4 linked regions of the Macaca mulatta genome follow. The protein of the gene in region 1 binds, or shares a complex with, the protein of each later gene. Links are inferred from orthologs where the notes say so. Each region holds a gene or a part of one and is shown on either strand. Other genes may lie near its edges.

Evidence for each region.
Region 2: PPP2CA (region 1) and STK25 share a complex: the UniProt entries of both Homo sapiens proteins name them as parts of the core of STRIPAK complex. The link is inferred for Macaca mulatta from reciprocal best matches to the Homo sapiens genes PPP2CA and STK25.
Region 3: the proteins of PPP2CA (region 1) and PTPA are in contact, whole or in part, in a crystal structure (PDB 4LAC), measured with the Homo sapiens proteins. The link is inferred for Macaca mulatta from reciprocal best matches to the Homo sapiens genes PPP2CA and PTPA. Residues at the interface, in NP_002706.1 of Homo sapiens: Arg89, Gly90, Tyr91, Gln122, Gln125, Val126, Tyr127, Gly128, Asp131, Glu132, Arg135, His191, Asp205, Arg206, Pro213, Arg214, Gly215, Gln242, Leu243, Val244, Met245, Asn249, Asn264, Cys266, Tyr267, Arg268, Cys269; in NP_821068.1 of Homo sapiens: His31, Thr32, Val33, Ser133, Arg134, Phe135, Lys138, Arg141, Asn180, Thr182, Arg183, Arg235, Glu237, Pro238, Gly240, Ser241, Gln242, Gly243, Val244, Trp245, Asp248, Asp249, Phe250, Phe294, Ile295, Met298, Lys299, Thr300, Ala304, Glu305.
Region 4: the proteins of PPP2CA (region 1) and PABIR1 are in contact, whole or in part, in a cryo-EM structure (PDB 8SO0), measured with the Homo sapiens proteins. The link is inferred for Macaca mulatta from reciprocal best matches to the Homo sapiens genes PPP2CA and PABIR1. Residues at the interface, in NP_002706.1 of Homo sapiens: Arg89, Gln122, Val126, Tyr127, His191, Trp200, Pro213, Arg214, Gly215, Ala216, Leu243, Met245, Tyr265, Cys266, Arg268, Cys269; in NP_612206.5 of Homo sapiens: Asp95, Leu96, Ile97, Arg99, Glu100, Thr101, His103, Glu104, Arg105, Val107, Gln108, Met111.

The regions. Positions count from the first base shown.
Region 1 is NC_133411.1:143,102,164-143,104,929, forward strand, and holds part of PPP2CA (serine/threonine-protein phosphatase 2A catalytic subunit alpha isoform), read right to left. Parts: intron 2,021-2,766; coding exon 1,931-2,020; intron 1,445-1,930; coding exon 1,283-1,444; intron 148-1,282; coding exon 29-147; intron 1-28. UniProt on the Homo sapiens protein: Catalytic subunit of protein phosphatase 2A (PP2A), a serine/threonine phosphatase involved in the regulation of a wide variety of enzymes, signal transduction pathways, and cellular events.
Region 2 is NC_133417.1:146,800,741-146,805,001, reverse strand, and holds the start of STK25 (serine/threonine-protein kinase 25), read left to right. Parts: upstream 1-1,461; intron 1,462-1,517; coding exon of another isoform or gene 1,518-1,850; coding exon 1,851-1,880; exon of another isoform or gene 1,881-2,230; intron 2,231-4,261. Other genes in the region: uncharacterized protein LOC106992798, read right to left, coding at 795-1,461, 1,518-1,852. UniProt on the Homo sapiens protein: Oxidant stress-activated serine/threonine kinase that may play a role in the response to environmental stress.
Region 3 is NC_133420.1:18,531,779-18,535,802, reverse strand, and holds the start of PTPA (serine/threonine-protein phosphatase 2A activator), read left to right. Parts: upstream 1-1,224; 5' UTR 1,225-1,434; coding exon 1,435-1,465; intron 1,466-1,521; exon of another isoform or gene 1,522-1,625; intron 1,626-4,024. UniProt on the Homo sapiens protein: PPIases accelerate the folding of proteins. It catalyzes the cis-trans isomerization of proline imidic peptide bonds in oligopeptides. Acts as a regulatory subunit for serine/threonine-protein phosphatase 2A (PP2A).
Region 4 is NC_133420.1:99,819,374-99,823,440, forward strand, and holds the start of PABIR1 (PPP2R1A-PPP2R2A-interacting phosphatase regulator 1), read left to right. Parts: upstream 1-1,267; 5' UTR 1,268-1,271; coding exon 1,272-2,261; 3' UTR 2,262-4,067. UniProt on the Homo sapiens protein: Acts as an inhibitor of serine/threonine-protein phosphatase 2A (PP2A) activity. Inhibits PP2A activity by blocking the substrate binding site on PPP2R2A and the active site of PPP2CA.

The sequences.
Region 1 (2,766 bases):
AATAAAATGTTCAAGTAGAAATACTTACAAAGAGTATTTTAGAGTATCGTCAAGTTCCATGATTGCAGCTTGGTTACCACAACGATAACAATAGTTTGGAGCACTGAAAATTGTTACTACATTTCGGTCATGGCACCAGTTATATCCCTACAAGGAAAAGGAGGCAAAAATCTTACTTTACTCCCTCAATTCAACTAAATGCTACTTCACTCAAGAGAGAAAAAAATCTCTACTCATTCCCACCCCTGCCAAAGGGGCTTAAGAAATGTTAATACTTTTTTTCTGGTTGACTTAATAATTTGCTGTACTTCATACAACCTGTAAGATACATACGTATTTGTTTTCCCCCTAATTACAAAATTTGCTTTTAGTACTAAAAAGAAAAAAAAAAAGCCTTTAACAAACAGTGGCGACCACCGAAGAATGAACTGCTTCTCATGTATCTGCCTTGCTGTAAATGATGGTGTCTCATTAGCCTCTTCTATTGCAGTGGTCTTAAAACATGATTTAAGAATGAGTATTTAAGTGGCCATTCCCTAGAGAAGTAGATACCTAATCCTGGAGATCAGAACCTTACCAATTTCGTCAGTTACAGGTAAAGGCCTGTAAGTCATTCACTGCCCAGGAACAAATGTGATATGCCTCTAGGATCTCCAGCCTTGTTTCCTCAAAATCCATCCATCTGAATGCATGAGCTACTTTTGTTACTTTTTGTTTAGTATTGTTCACAAATTTATTTATCTTTAGCAAAGTCAGATTTTATTGATAACCACAGAGTTGTACTAGTATTAATCTAATTAGCACCTTATTTTAGAAACATGCTAATCAGTGTGCATGTCAAGAACCTTTGCCTCTTTCCCTTCTCTTCTTTCAAATTACCTGTAATCCTACCATCCAAAGGACCACTTAGAACATTTTGGTGTATTTCTTTCCAGTCTCTCCTACATACATACATGTTAAATATATGAAATGACATTGGGATCATAAAATATTATATACACACCCCAACTCCCTACATCTTACTTTCCCACTCTTAGATCCCAAGTACTTCCTAGTCATTCAGATTTCTCTGGAAACATGTTAATGGATTCATTGTAATCAACAACTTGAGCTTTTAATTCTAGTAGTGTGCATCTACTGAAAAGGCTCAGGCTATAATGGTAAACTCATCAGAAGGAATAGATGGAATTTCTCACAAATGTCATTAATTTAAAACTCCCTAATATCTTCTCTCCTTAAGTTTACTAAAAAACAAGTCATATTTCAAATAATAGAAGCATACCTCCATCACTAGCTGGTGAGCTCTTGACACCAACGTGAGGCCATTGGCATGATTAAATGTCTCTGAAATATCTTGCCCAAAGGTGTAACCAGCTCCTCGAGGAGATATTCCCCAACCACCACGGTCATCTGGATCTGACCACAGCAAGTCACACATTGGACCCTAAAAAATAACTTCGTTATAAAATGCCTTTTACAAACATGGTTAACACATTATTTGAGTAATTCATCAGAAGCAGCACCCTAAGTCACCCTCTTTGAGTGATGTTTGTGGACAACGCTAGTAGATTATGCAGTTGAAGTCAAACATCTGCATCAAGTAATATGTATTTTCCAGTAGACTTTATGAGACACAGCTGACATCCATGGGACCCAGCAGTAACATGCCTTAATTAATCTGCCTATATTATGCAAATTTCAGAGTCTAAGACAGACAACCTAGGTCCTAATAAGCCCAGCTCTACAGCTGCTGTGATCTTGGCAGGTTTCTTAATGTCAGCTTCTTCTGAACAATAGGGCAGACAAGAGTGTTCACACCTCAAGTTGTTTTTGAGAATTATAAGAGAGAATACATCTAATGATCTTATAATTAAACCTCTCCACTCTTTAATAAGTTTTCTGGAAAGATTTTATCAAATAAAAGTCATACCTCATGGGGAACTTCTTGTAGGCGATCAAGTGCTCTGATATGATCCAGTGTATCTATAGATGGCGAGAGACCACCATGTAGACAGAAGATCTGAAAAGAGTGGTTTAAAAGGTTAACCTCACCTAAAAAATTTGTAAACATTCTTGGCTGGGCACAGTGGCTCATGCCTGTAACCCCAGCACTTGGGGAAGCTGAGGCAGGAGGACTGTTTGAGGCCAGGAGTTTGAGACCAGCCTGAGCAACACAGCAACACCCTGTGTCTCTATAAAAATTTTTAAAAAATGAGCTGGACGCCCCCATCACTTGGCCCCTCTGGTGTTTCTGTGCTCTGCCTGAATGAGGCCTGACTTTGCAGGATTCAGCTTTGCTCCAGCCCACTCTAAACGATTGAGTACACTCCCATTCTTCCTAATAGAACATCACTGTCACACCCAGACTCCACCTCAAACAGCTCCTTTGAGAAAACTTTTTGGATATCACTCCTGCCCCCTGCCAGAGACTAGTATCTCCATGCTCATAAAATTTTATTATAAGTTCTTTTGTGTGCACAATAATTAGTTCCTTACATCTCCCAGACTTGTCCAAAAACAGTCTGAGAGAATAAATGGGCTACATCATCCACCCCTGTGATCCCATCATATAGTTCAGTGCCTGATATAAAGAATAATGCACTTTAAAAAGCTGGACACATTTGTCAAATTAATTTTTTAAAATTTGAATGAATGCTATCAATATCTACTAAAAAATATCCCTAAAGGGGTATAACAGTGGAAAGAGTCAGGAGCACCTGAACATTAAAGGAAGTTGATTCTCTGAAATAATCAGCAATGAGTTTT
Region 2 (4,261 bases), on another chromosome or scaffold:
CCACTTCCTCCTGGGGAGTCAAAGCACAAACAAAACCAAGTCAGTATGTCAACAAGCAGGGGTGATGAGATGGGGACCCAGGGGTTCAAGGGGCTGTCCTGGATGCATGACAGGGAAACATGGCTTCTTAAAGGACTTGGCAACGCACCATGAGAAAACACGCACCAGGGAGCAAAGAGAAACGCCAGAACCCTCTTGAGGAAGGAGGGGTGTGAGGTGGTCAGGATAGTCATCTGTGCTGAGCCATCATGGAAACTGAGGGCCTGTAAGGGTGGACACAGAGTGGAGGACAGACAAATCTTCCTCACCGGACAGGTGGGGATCCCTGCGGTGCACCAGGGGAATGCACACAGGGGGCACTATGACCTGGCGGCCCACGGGGCAGGGGGGTGCACCAGGTAGCCTTGGGCTCTGCAAGTCCCTCCCTGACCTTGGGGAGGTGACCCCAGTGCCACGACGGTTTCCAGCAGCAGTCACTGTCCTGGGCGGGTACCGCGCTCTAGCCCAGGTGGGTCCCACAAAGGTGTGACCAAGGATGTCCTATGATCACCCCTTTACAGGTAAGGAAACTGAGGCAGAAGATGCGAAGCTCGCGCAAGGAATGGGCTGTGCAGGTAGCTTCTCCAAGGCTTGCTGCGCCCTGGCCTGTGCGCATGATCCCGAGCGGGGTCTCGGTGCGAACAGGGGTTTCGCGGTGTGACCAGCGCCGGCTTATCTCCGAGCCGTGAGGACAAGGCCAACAGCCTGGGCGGCCGCGGTGGATCCTCGGGGCGAGGCGGGGAGGGCGCGGGGCCTTACTGGCCAGCTCGGACCAGGGCTGCGCAGGGCAGAGCCCAAGGGAAACGCCGCGCGGCCGCCGTCACGTCGGAGACGACGCCCTGCAGGCGCCAGCAGACGCAGAAGGCCAGCGAGGGCGAGGCACGGAAGACGCGACGCGACAACGACCACGTGCCCCGCCTGCCCCGCCGCGCGCCCTGCTGGGAGACGCAGTCCAAGCCTTTCGGGAGCCGAACTCGGGGTCCCAGAGAGCCTCGCGGCGCGCATGTGAGCCCCGCCCCTCTCTCGCGGCCTGCCGGGACTTGTAGTGCAACGCCAGCAGACTTCCGGGCCCGGAATGGGCGGTGGGACTCGGGGTCCCAGAGAGCCTCGCGGCGCGCATGTGAGCCCCGCCCCTCTCTCGCGGCCTGCCGGGACTTGTAGTCCAACGCCAGCAGGCTTCCGGGCCCGGAATGGGCGGTGGGACTCGGGGTCCCAGAGAGCCGTGCGCGGGCCGCGACGCCGAATACCGCCCTCGCCGTCGCCTCCTCCGGGCTTTCTCCTGTCGCTGCCGCCACCGCCGTTGCTTCGCGGGCTGGGAGGCCCGGGGTCCCCGGGCGAACAGAGGCTGCGGGTGGGAGCCTTCGCGGGCGCTGCAGAGCGGGCCGGGGGAGGCCGGGATGGAGCCCCGCGGAGGTGGGCGCGCTGCCGGGCGCGCGTTAGCGGCGATTGGGGAGGGGGCGGAGGGAGGGGCCCGGGGCGGGGCTCGGTGGCGGGGACTCCGGGGCGGGGGCACCGGGAGGAAGCTGCCTCGGAAGAGGTGGGGGCGGGGACGGGAGGGGCGGCGAGTCCCCGGGAGCCTGGGCTGTAGGCCCGGGCGTGGCGGGGCCCCGATGGCCTGGGGGTCTCCTGGGGCCCCCCTCCAGCCCGCCGCCCCGGAGCTAGGTCTCAGATGACTGAACTGGGCGCCGACCGCTCCTGCTGTCCCTCGCAGTGGACTGACGCCGCAGGGGCGAGCGAGCCGGCTCCACGCCTCTCCGCGGGATCCAGACGCCTCTCGGGGCTGTCGGCGGAGGGTCTGAGGCGGCCCGGCCATGGCTCACCTCCGGGGATTTGCCAACCAGGTGAGGAGGGTGCAGTTCAGGAAGACTAGCGGCCTCTCAGCGAGGGGCGCCAGAGCTTCCCGGGGGCTCCGAGGGGCGCCTCGCCGGAGCGGGCGGTGGGTGAGGGAAGGAGCGCGCGTCGTGCGACCAGCGGAGCCGTCCTGAGGTGGGCGCAGGGCGGCCCCCGGGCTCTGCCGTGTGCTTGTGGCGTTTTGCGTGGTAGGAGCTCGCAGACCTCTTGACACCGAGCCCCGGGTGGCTCCGCCTGTGCGAGGGCGGCGGAGGTGCGTGAAGAGACACCGGCTCCGGGACAGGACGCTGCCCCCAGCGCGGGGCGGGAACCTCGTGTCGGCATCTGAAGGCAGTGGAAGGTCAGGGGCCACACTGCGGCCTGAGCCCGGGCCACGGGTCGTTCCGGCCGTTCTGGCCGTGTTGGGCTGGGCGGGGGCCGTAGAGGAGACCCTGATGGGCGCTGAGGGGCTGGGAACGTGGAGAAGCCGATCTGAGCGGCCGGTGTGCAGGGAAAGCGGAGAACGCGTGTGTGCTTTGGCCCAGGGGAAGGTGAAAAGGCTGCTCTGTTCAGAACCGTTTAACCCCTGCTACGGGCGGTTGCCCGAACAGGAGGCTCGTCATTCCTCTTTGAAGAAGTCGGTTCCACTATGGAGCCACTTTGAAGCGTCTGGTGGGACAGCCTCGGAAGGAGCCACTACAGCGAGCCCTTAGTCTGGAATGAGGACCAGCTGCTGCTGCCACAGGGCATGCCAGGGAAGGAGGGTGGGGACAGCCAGCCTGGGACCTGGAGACTTGCACTGTGTACCTCTCCCCATTTTTTTGACTCTGGCTGCTGGGTTTTTTTACGTCTTAGCGTTCGGTTTTGCTCTCCTTGATGCCTTGGCTCTGCCTAAGGTGTTGGAATCGCCGCTAAAATGTGTGGCCCTCCTTGTTCACTCCTCTGTGCTGAATTCCTGAGAGCTGGGTGTGCAGTGGAACAGGAAGGGCGTCTGTCCGCATAGGGGCAGGAACTGGAGTCAGGGCTGCTTTGGAGGAAACTGGACCAGCCTAGAGACCCGGAATACCGTGTGCAGCTCTTGGGCCAGGCAGCCTGGACCTGCGCGGTCACAGATGGGACTGGGGCTTGCTGACTGATGCTGAATTAAGCTAACAGATTTTTGACTTTCTGTATCTGGTAACTTACATGACTAAGGTGCTGGGAGAAAAATCTGTCACCAGTTTATTTTATTTTTATTTTTTATTTTTTTGAGACAGAGTTTCACTTTTGTTGCCCAGGCTGGAGTGCAATGGCGCAATCTCAGCTCACTGCAACCTCTGCCTCCCAGGTACAAGCCATTCTCCTGTCTTGGCCTCACGAGTAGCTGGGATTACAGGCGTGTGCCATCACGCCCAGCTAATTTTGTATTTTTAGTAGAGACGGAGTTTCACCATGTTGGTCAAGCTGGTCTCAAACTCCTGACCTCAGGTGATCTGCTTGCCGTGGCCTCCCAAAGTGCTGGGATTACAGGCGTGAGCCACCGTGCCCGGCCACCAGTTTATTTTTAAGAACTGCAGAAATAGCTCCTTTGGGTCACGGGATGAGAAATTGGAGCTCTGAGGTGCCCTGTGACTGTGTGCTGTTGGTTCTTGGTGCGATCAGACCCAGGGAAGGGAGTGGGCGCGCACTGGGGAAGGGAGTGGGCGCACTGGGGAAGGGAGTGGGTGCACTGGGGAAGGGAGTGGGTGCACTGGGGAGGGAGTGTGGGCGCACTGGGGAGGGAGTGTGGGTGCACTGGGGAAGGGAGTGGGCGCACTGGGGAGGGAGTGTGGGCGCACTGGGGAAGGGAGTGTGGGCACTGGGGAAGGGAGTAGACGTACTGGGGAGGGAGTGTGGGCACTGGGGAAGGGAGTAGGCGCACTGGGGAAGGGAGTGTGGGCGCACTGGGGAAGGGAGTGGGCGCACTGGGAAGGGAGTGGGCGCACTGGGGAAGGGAGTGTGGGCGCACTGGGGAGGGAGTGTGGGTGCACTGGGGAGGGAGTGTGGGCACTGGGGAGGGAGTGTGGGCGCACTGGGGAAGGGAGTGTGGGCACTGGGGAAGGGAGTAGACGTACTGGGGAGGGAGTGTGGGCACTGGGGAAGGGAGTGTGGGCGCACTGGGGAAGGGAGTGGGCGCACTGGGGAGGGAGTGTGGGCGCACTGGGGAAGGGAGTAGGCACACTGGGGAAGGGAGTGTGGGCGCACTGGGGAGGGAGTGTGGGTGCACTGGGGAAGGGAGTGGGCGCACTGGGGAAGGGAGTGGGCGCACTGGGGGGGGAGTGTGGGCACTGGGGAAGGGAGTGTGGGTGCACTGGGGAAGGGAGTAGGCGCACTGGGGAAGGGAGTGTGGGTGCACTGGGGAGGGAGTGTGGGT
Region 3 (4,024 bases), on another chromosome or scaffold:
CCACCGGCCTGTCTCTGGGTCTAAGGGTGGGGGTGCTAACTGAAGCCGGGTCCCCCCTGTCTTTCCCGGGTCGTTGGAATTGAATGCTCCAGGACGTGGGTTCAATCCCACTTCTGACGCTGCGCCCGAATCTCCTGCTCTGCCAAACCTGGGACGCCCGCCTGGCCCCACCCCACCCCACCCCATCAGCTGGAGGCCGGGTCGGATAGCGGCCGCAGGACGAGGTCTCCGCTCCCGGGCGCAACCGCACGGCCACCCACGCCGTCCAGGGCCCTCAGTCCCTGGCTCCGCCGCACTCACCACGGTCCTGGCAGCGAAGGCTAACATCTTTGCTGCCCGTCCGCGGACACGCAGTCCGCTCCGCCCCACACACCGGGCAAAGTCCGCGCCGCCGCTGCAGCGGCTGGGGTTGGTGGGTCCTTGCTAGAGCCTTCGGGCCAAGGTCGCTGAGTTACGGCCGCCAGCCGGTAGAGGCGGCCCCGCGCCCACCCTCCGGGCCGGGCAGGCACCGGGGAGGAGGATTCGCGAGGCGGGGCCTGGGCCGGTAGCGGGCCCCGAGCCTGCAACGGAGCCCGGGAGGCTGGCTGCGGGGCGGGGGCGGGGCCTCGATGGGGCGGGGCCTCGATGGGGCGGGGTCTCCTTGGGGAGGGTCAGGAGGGGCGGGGCGTCTCCCGGTAGCGGGTCGCAGTAGGCTGGCTGCGAGCTGGGGACGGGGCCACGGCGGGTGCTGGGACAGAGGGGCGGGGCCGACGGCGAGTCATTGGTTGGGAGGCCCCGCAAGGCGTTGAGATCTGTGGAGTAGGAAGGAGGAGGCCACCGTCCAGCTGTCTCTCCCCCGCCCCCGCGTGTCTTCTAAGCTGTTGGAGGTAGCGGTGTGCACCTCTCCAACTCCGTCTGGTGTTCTTGAGCGTAACTCTTAGAGTGGTAGGAAAACACAACCGTGTTGTCCGGAGAATGTCCTCTCATATTCCTTGGATTAGGGTCACTACCACCCACAAAGATGACAGGTGGTACTCGGGGACAGGAGACTGCCCCGGAAAAACATGGCTGTGCACAACCCAAACTTGACGCCCCGCACAATCATGGCAGCCGCGGCGCCCGTCGTTCCGGCAGCCGTTAGCGGACCTGGCGCTTGGGGGCCGTTGGCGCGCATGCGCCCCGCGCGCCCCGCACTGACATGGCCGTCGCCCGAGTCCGCGCGTCCGCCGCGCGCCGGCCGTTAATGGGCATGCTCCCTGAGCGCCCCGCACCGATATGGCGGCCGTCGTCCCTGGGGTGACTTTAACTCTCGGTTTTCGGTTATAGCCGGCCGGCGCTCACTTGTCTTCAGGAAACCCGGAGCCTTTGGTGGAGCCGGGGAGAGGAAGGGTGGGTGCAAGCGTGAAAGGCGAGAGGGGACTGCAGGCATCCGGGCCGGCTCCTGGCCGGAGCAAGATGGCTGAGGGCGAGCGGCAGCCGCCACCAGGTAAGGCCGGCGGGGCCAGGCCGGGCCGGGGTCGGGTAGGGTGAGGGCGGCGCCAGGTGTGGGAGGCTCAGGAGGGCGAGAGTCAGGACACGGAGGAGCTGGAGGGGCAAAAGCTGAGGGGCCCCGAGGAGAAACTGAGTTGAATGGCCTTAGGGGAGAGGTGGGTGATGGGGCACCGCTGGGAGGGAAGCAGGGGCTGCAAAGGGGTGGTGATTGGGGCGCAGCTCTGGGTTTTGTGGGAGTCTGGGCTGCCCGAATGCCGGGTGGGCAGCACCGTGGTCATAAGGGGGGCCTTTTGCCTCTTTGGGCAGCGCGTGCCTAAGTCAGCCGTGAACCTGGTGGGGAAGTTGCCAGGGAAGGGGGCGAAAGTGATTCCGGAGGCTGCCGTGTTTATTAGTCGCTGCTCAGGGGATGGGGTGGTGCTCAGTGGGCCGCGCCTGCCTCGCCCCCAGTTTCAGCTTCCGCGCCCTGCTCACCCCTCATCCTCCTCCTCTCTGGTTTCCGTGACTGAGAATTTATTGAGGGAAACTGCCCGTGGTGTCTAAACCCCTAATTTTAAAAGGCTGGTTGTGCAAGGAGGTTAGTCTCTCTCTGGCATCTCCTTCGGTAACTCTTATTTACACTGTAGCCTCTTTTTAGTTCATCTCAAATAACTGGGATGGAGGTGCTACGGAAGGATCTTCTTAGAGACCCCTTTCATGGAGAAGGAGGAGGCTGGACTGGCCATAGATAACTTTTACATTCCCGACAGAGAGGCAAGTAGGTTGGCCCACCAAACACAGCTAATGTTTTGAAATCATTTGATATTCCTGCTATCCTGTCTCCAATTTTGTGGTCCCTGGGAAGATCTCAGGAGGGAGAAATGTTGAAAATCAAAAAAGGCATCCTCTCCATGCCCCACAAAAGAGATGAACAAAGAGCTGGGTTCTGTTTCTTAGGACATTCGAAACCAGACATTTTGTACAAAACCTCTGTGTGTGTGCCCTTAGAACAGGGGTGTCCAGTCTTTTGTCTTATCTAAGCCACATTGGAAGAAGAATTGTCTTGGGCCACACATAAAATACACTAACAGTAACTAACAAGAGCTGATGAGCTAAAAAAAAGTCACAAAAAGAAAAAAGTCTCATACTGGTTTTGTGGTTTTTTTCTTTTTTTTTTTTTGAGGCAGCGTCTCACTCTGTCCTCCAAGCTGGAGTGCAGTGGTGTGAACGCCTCCCGGGTTCAAGCGATTCTCCTGCCTCAGCCTCCTGAGTAGCTGGGACTACAAGCGTGCCACCATGCCCAGCTAATTTTTGTATTTTTATTAGAGACGGGATTTCACCATATTGGCCAGGCTGGTCTCGAACTCCTGACCTCGTGATCCACCTGCCTTGGCCTTCCAAAGTGCTGGGATTACAGGCATGAGCCACCGCGCCTAGCCGGTCTCGATCTCTTGACCTCGTGATCCGCCTGCCTTGGCCTTCCAAAGTGCTGGTGTTACAGGTGTGAACCACCACACCTGGTCTATGTTTTAAGAAAGTTTACAAATTTGTGTCCGGCTACATTCAAAGCTGCCCTGGGCTGCGGGTTGGACAAGCTTGCCTTGGAAGTTCTGGTAATGACTCTGGGCCGGGTGGCTCACACCTGTAATCCCAGCCCTTTGGGAGGCTGAGGCAGGCGGATCACTTGACGTCAGGAGTTTGAGACCAGCCATGGCCAACATGGCAAAACCCTGTCTCTACTCAAAACACAAAAATTAGCCGGGTGTGGTGGCATATGCCTGTGATCCCAGCTACTTGGGAGGCTGAGGCAGGAGAATCACTTGAACCCAGGAGGCGGAGGTTGCAGTGAGCCGAGATTGCACCACTGCACTCCAGCCACTGCACCCCAGCCTGGGCGACAGAGCAAGACTCCATCTCCCAAAAAAAAAGTTCTGGTAATGATATCAGGAGAGAGGAGATATAAGGCAACCACTGTTATCAGTGAGATGAATGTGTCCCTTAGGATGAATGGGGGTGGAGAGTGGGAGGAGAGAGAACCTGTGTCCTGAAAGAGAGGAAGGCTCAGGGAGGTTATCCATGGCTGAAAAGAGCCAGGTCCCTGAACATGGTCCTTTTTTGAAATTTGAAACAACTTTTGGGAACAGCTGGAAAGAACTTCTTCTTTTTTGTTTTGTTTTTTTTGGACACAGAGTTTCGCTTTGTCACCTAGGCCGGGGTGCAGTGGTGCAATCTCAGCTCACTGCAACCTCCGCCTCCTGAGTTCATGTGATTCTCGTGCCTCAGCCTCCCGAGTTGCCGAGGCGTCCACCACCATGCCGGGCTAATTTTTTGAATTTTTAATAGAGATGAGATTTCGCCAAGTTGGCCAAGCTGGTCTCAGACTCCTGGCCTCAAGTGATCCGCTGCCTCGGCCACTCAGAGTGCTGGGATTACAGCCGTGAGCCACCGCGCCCGACCAAGAAAGTTCCTCTTAACTCAGTGTAATGATGAAAACTTTGGATTTTGGAGTCACACATATCTGGCTCTGCCTGGCAAGTCACAGCCTCTGTGAGCCTCAGTTACCTCTCTCTTTTTTAAA
Region 4 (4,067 bases), on another chromosome or scaffold:
TCTGCTAACACTCGCCGCTCTTATGCTTCAGCAGCACTGCCCTTCTTTCTTTTTCCGCTTACTCAACAAACTCATGGCTGCCTCGGGCCTTAGCACTTGCTATTCTCTCTGCTTGGAATACTCATTCCCCAGATGTCCACGTGACTTGCTGCTGCTTGTCATTTAGATCTCAGCTCTAATTGTCCGCTGCCTTCTATCAGTAGTGCTCCATCACACCATCTTGTTTTTCCTAAGGCTTTACCACTATCTGAAAATAGCCTGCGTTTATTTCTGTATTTTCCCCTCAGTAAGAATTAAAAGTTCTCAGACTAGGGCCCATTTCCTAGCAGTGTTTGGCACATAGTAAGTATGCTGGAAAAAAAAAAAAAAAACCTTGACTGAATAAATGAACAAATAAACTCACTTTTAATGAGCTATCAAGGTTTCATATTAATTACATGAGCCAAGAATAGTGTTTTTATTTTTAAAATGTGAGGACCTACTGGTTTTCCTTTAATCCTTCATACTTCACACATATGCTTGTGCTGGAACTATGACTGTAAATCAGTATCAGTACCATCCCCGGTTTTGGCTTTTTCCCCTAACCTAAACAGTTCTCATTTACTTTTCTCTCCATCTCCACTTCCACACTGTCACCTTAGTGCAAATTACCATCCTCTCTGGCCTTTTTTCTGTAAGGTTTTAATCTCCCAGTATTTGTTCTCCAGACTGCAGGCCAGTGAGCTTTTCAGTTGCTATTATACCCATGCTTGAAAACCCTTTAAGTTTTCATTGTTCTCAAGATAAAGACCAGAATGTGGTCTGGTCCACCACCTCACGTCACGCCAGCCCTCACTCTCCACTCCAGGCCACACTTTCTCCTCCCCTCCTGGTTCCCGCCTGCCACCTGGCTGGGTCGCCCTTGCTTCCCGCTTCCTGCGAAGTTTTACATCGCACCCATTTCGCCCACTTCTTCGGATTTCAGGACACTGTTCCTTCCTCGAGGAAGCCCTCCCTGATTCGCAAGCGCCACTCCCCGTCATACAGCCCCACATCACCATGGGCCTCTCTTTCAGGGCTTTGTTCGTTTTATAAATATGTACTCCAGAATATGACAATCTTATTGACGTTCGTCAATGCCAGTTTGCGCTCAATAGCTATTTGCTGAAGGAATATACGGACTAGCGGCCCGACTACTCCTCGCCCCTCCCCTACCACTGCCGCGCAGATATTACGCATAAAGCAGGCGCCTCGAGGACGGACATCGCGAGCGCCTGCGCGAAGGGGTACGCATGCGCAGAGGGGCCAGCCCGCTGACAGATTCTCGGTGGCGGCGGCAGCGGCGGCGGCCCTGGACTGCGGGGAATGGGAATCCTAGGTCCCTGACTGAGCACCTCCCCCGCCTCCCTGCCCCCGACATGGCTCAGGAGAAGATGGAGCTAGACCTGGAGCTGCCTCCGGGTACGGGCGGGAGCCCGGCGGAGGGCGGCGGCAGCGGCGGCGGCGGGGGCCTCAGGAGGTCTAACAGCGCCCCCCTGATCCACGGCCTCAGTGACACTTCGCCGGTGTTCCAGGCCGAGGCGCCGAGCGCCAGGCGGAACAGCACAACGTTCCCGAGCCGCCACGGCCTGCTGCTACCGGCCTCCCCTGTCCGCATGCACAGCAGCCGCTTGCACCAGATCAAACAAGAAGAGGGTATGGACTTGATCAACCGAGAGACGGTCCACGAACGGGAGGTGCAGACCGCAATGCAGATAAGCCACTCCTGGGAGGAAAGTTTCAGCCTGAGTGACAACGACGTGGAGAAATCCGCCTCCCCCAAGCGCATCGATTTCATTCCTGTGTCACCGGCACCGTCACCCACTCGGGGAATTGGGAAGCAGTGTTTTTCGCCATCCTTGCAAAGTTTTGTAAGTAGCAACGGATTGCCTCCAAGCCCTATTCCCAGCCCAACGACCCGATTTACCACACGGAGAAGCCAGAGCCCCATCAATTGCATTAGACCAAGTGTTCTTGGACCATTGAAAAGAAAATGTGAAATGGAAACTGATTATCAGCCAAAGAGATTTTTCCAGGGCATCACCAACATGCTTTCTTCTGACGTTGCACAGCTGTCAGATCCTGGTGTGTGTGTATCTTCGGATACCCTTGATGGAAACAGCAGCAGTGCCGGATCTTCTTGTAACTCACCAGCGAAAGTCAGCACTACCACCGACTCTCCTGTGTCACCTGCCCAAGCGGCTTCTCCATTTATTCCACTAGATGAACTTTCGTCTAAGTGATTCACTCATCCTGAGACTTTCTTTTTGCAGTGGAGAGAGAGAATAATCAAGTTGGGGCAAACACTGAACTTTGTCAATTAATTTGAGGCTATTTCCTATTCGACCCCTTTTCTTTTTTGAAATTTCCTGAAATGATGTTATTCTAGAGAACTTCTATGTCAGGTTCCTGCGGATACCTTTGAATTCAGTGTAGTAATATTTTCAGACGTTTCCCCAATAAGTGTGTTGAAGCATACATCTTTACGCTGCTACTATGTCTAAATACATATGTTATCCCTTGATTTTTTTAAATAATTGAGAGCTCTATTTATTTATGGGATTATTAAGTTCTGATGAAAATATAAATGTTGACTTAATCAGCATAGTAAACTGATGTTTAAAATTCCATACTTCATGCCCACACTAATTTTTAATGTTATTTTCAGTGGTTTGCCGATTTCCATTTGATGAAGAACTATACAGCTTAAAAAAAAAATACGTTAGTTATATCAATCTAGTGGTTGTCTGTTTTACCCAGGAATTCTTGGATATTTAGTTTTCTGGGTACCGAAGTGGGTGGGAGGGGGAATGATTAGAGAACAAATTATAAAAGTTTGCAACAAATCCTTTCAAATTAAGTATATAAAAGTAAACTTTTAAGGAAAACATTTTTAATGAGATTTTAATAGTAATTCTAGTCAGTCATACAACTATATTATAGAGAAAATAAAAATTTTCCTTTTTTTTTTTTTTTTTTTAACCAGAAAGTGCATTTGCTTGGGTGCAATCCTAAAGTGAAATGGGACAGTGCCTTGCAGTCTTTGCCCACTGTACATAGGCTAAGGCTAAGCTCTTTGTACTACTGCAAACGTAAAAGTTTTTCAAATGTAGAAAATGTGTGGGAAGGCTTGTTGAACTTTGGCGCGCCCAGGTAAACAATACTCTCTCTCAATTGTTGATATACTTTAAAATATTCAGTTGTGCCTCAGTTCCAAAAATTATTGCCAACCAGGAGCCAGAGCAATTTTTGGCTACTTTTCTGCTCTGCCCATCTGTCACCTTACTGGTTTTCCCTTGTTCAGGAAGGAAGCAGCTGTTTCCTTGCCAACAGGTCCCTTCCTTCATCTCCCACCAAAGTAGGGCACCATTGATTAGACAAAGGTACAGTGTAACTTGGATTTCTGACAGCAACAACAGGACTGAATTGTTTAACCTCTGTGGTTAAAGCTACAGCTTGAGTTGACTGCCTTGGGGATGTCCATTAATTAAGGGGTGATGATTTGCAAGAGAAAATTAGTGGAGAGTCACATAGGTAAATCATTATTTAACTTAGGTTTTGCTAAAGGTAGAATAGTCGAATGTTCTTTTCTTTGCCTTTACAATTAAGACAATAAGAATAACAAAATTTTCTTAATATTCTTCCTTATACCTCATATAGCTTCCTTAACTAGATAGTTTGACAGAAAGAATGGCATACAAAGAGGAAAGGGGAAAAATGACTCAGAACAAGACAAAAGCTCTGACTTTTTAAAGTTATCACTTACAGAGACTAACAATTTTGTGGAATTTTTACGACTATGAAAATAAATGGAACTGGTCAACTCTTGATGGTTGCCTCAAGATGGAGTGAAATTGCATTGAGGGTAAGACTGTGTCCACAGGTTTAAAATTCTCTCTTCTGAGTAATAGTGTTCATGTGCTCCCATTCTCAACCTTGTTCTTCAAATTCAAACTTAAATAGTCTGACTTCTTGTTGGGTAACTTGCCCTGCCTCCAGAGGTATTTAAACTTCATTATCTTCAACACAGAAATTGTTAATCTTCTCAC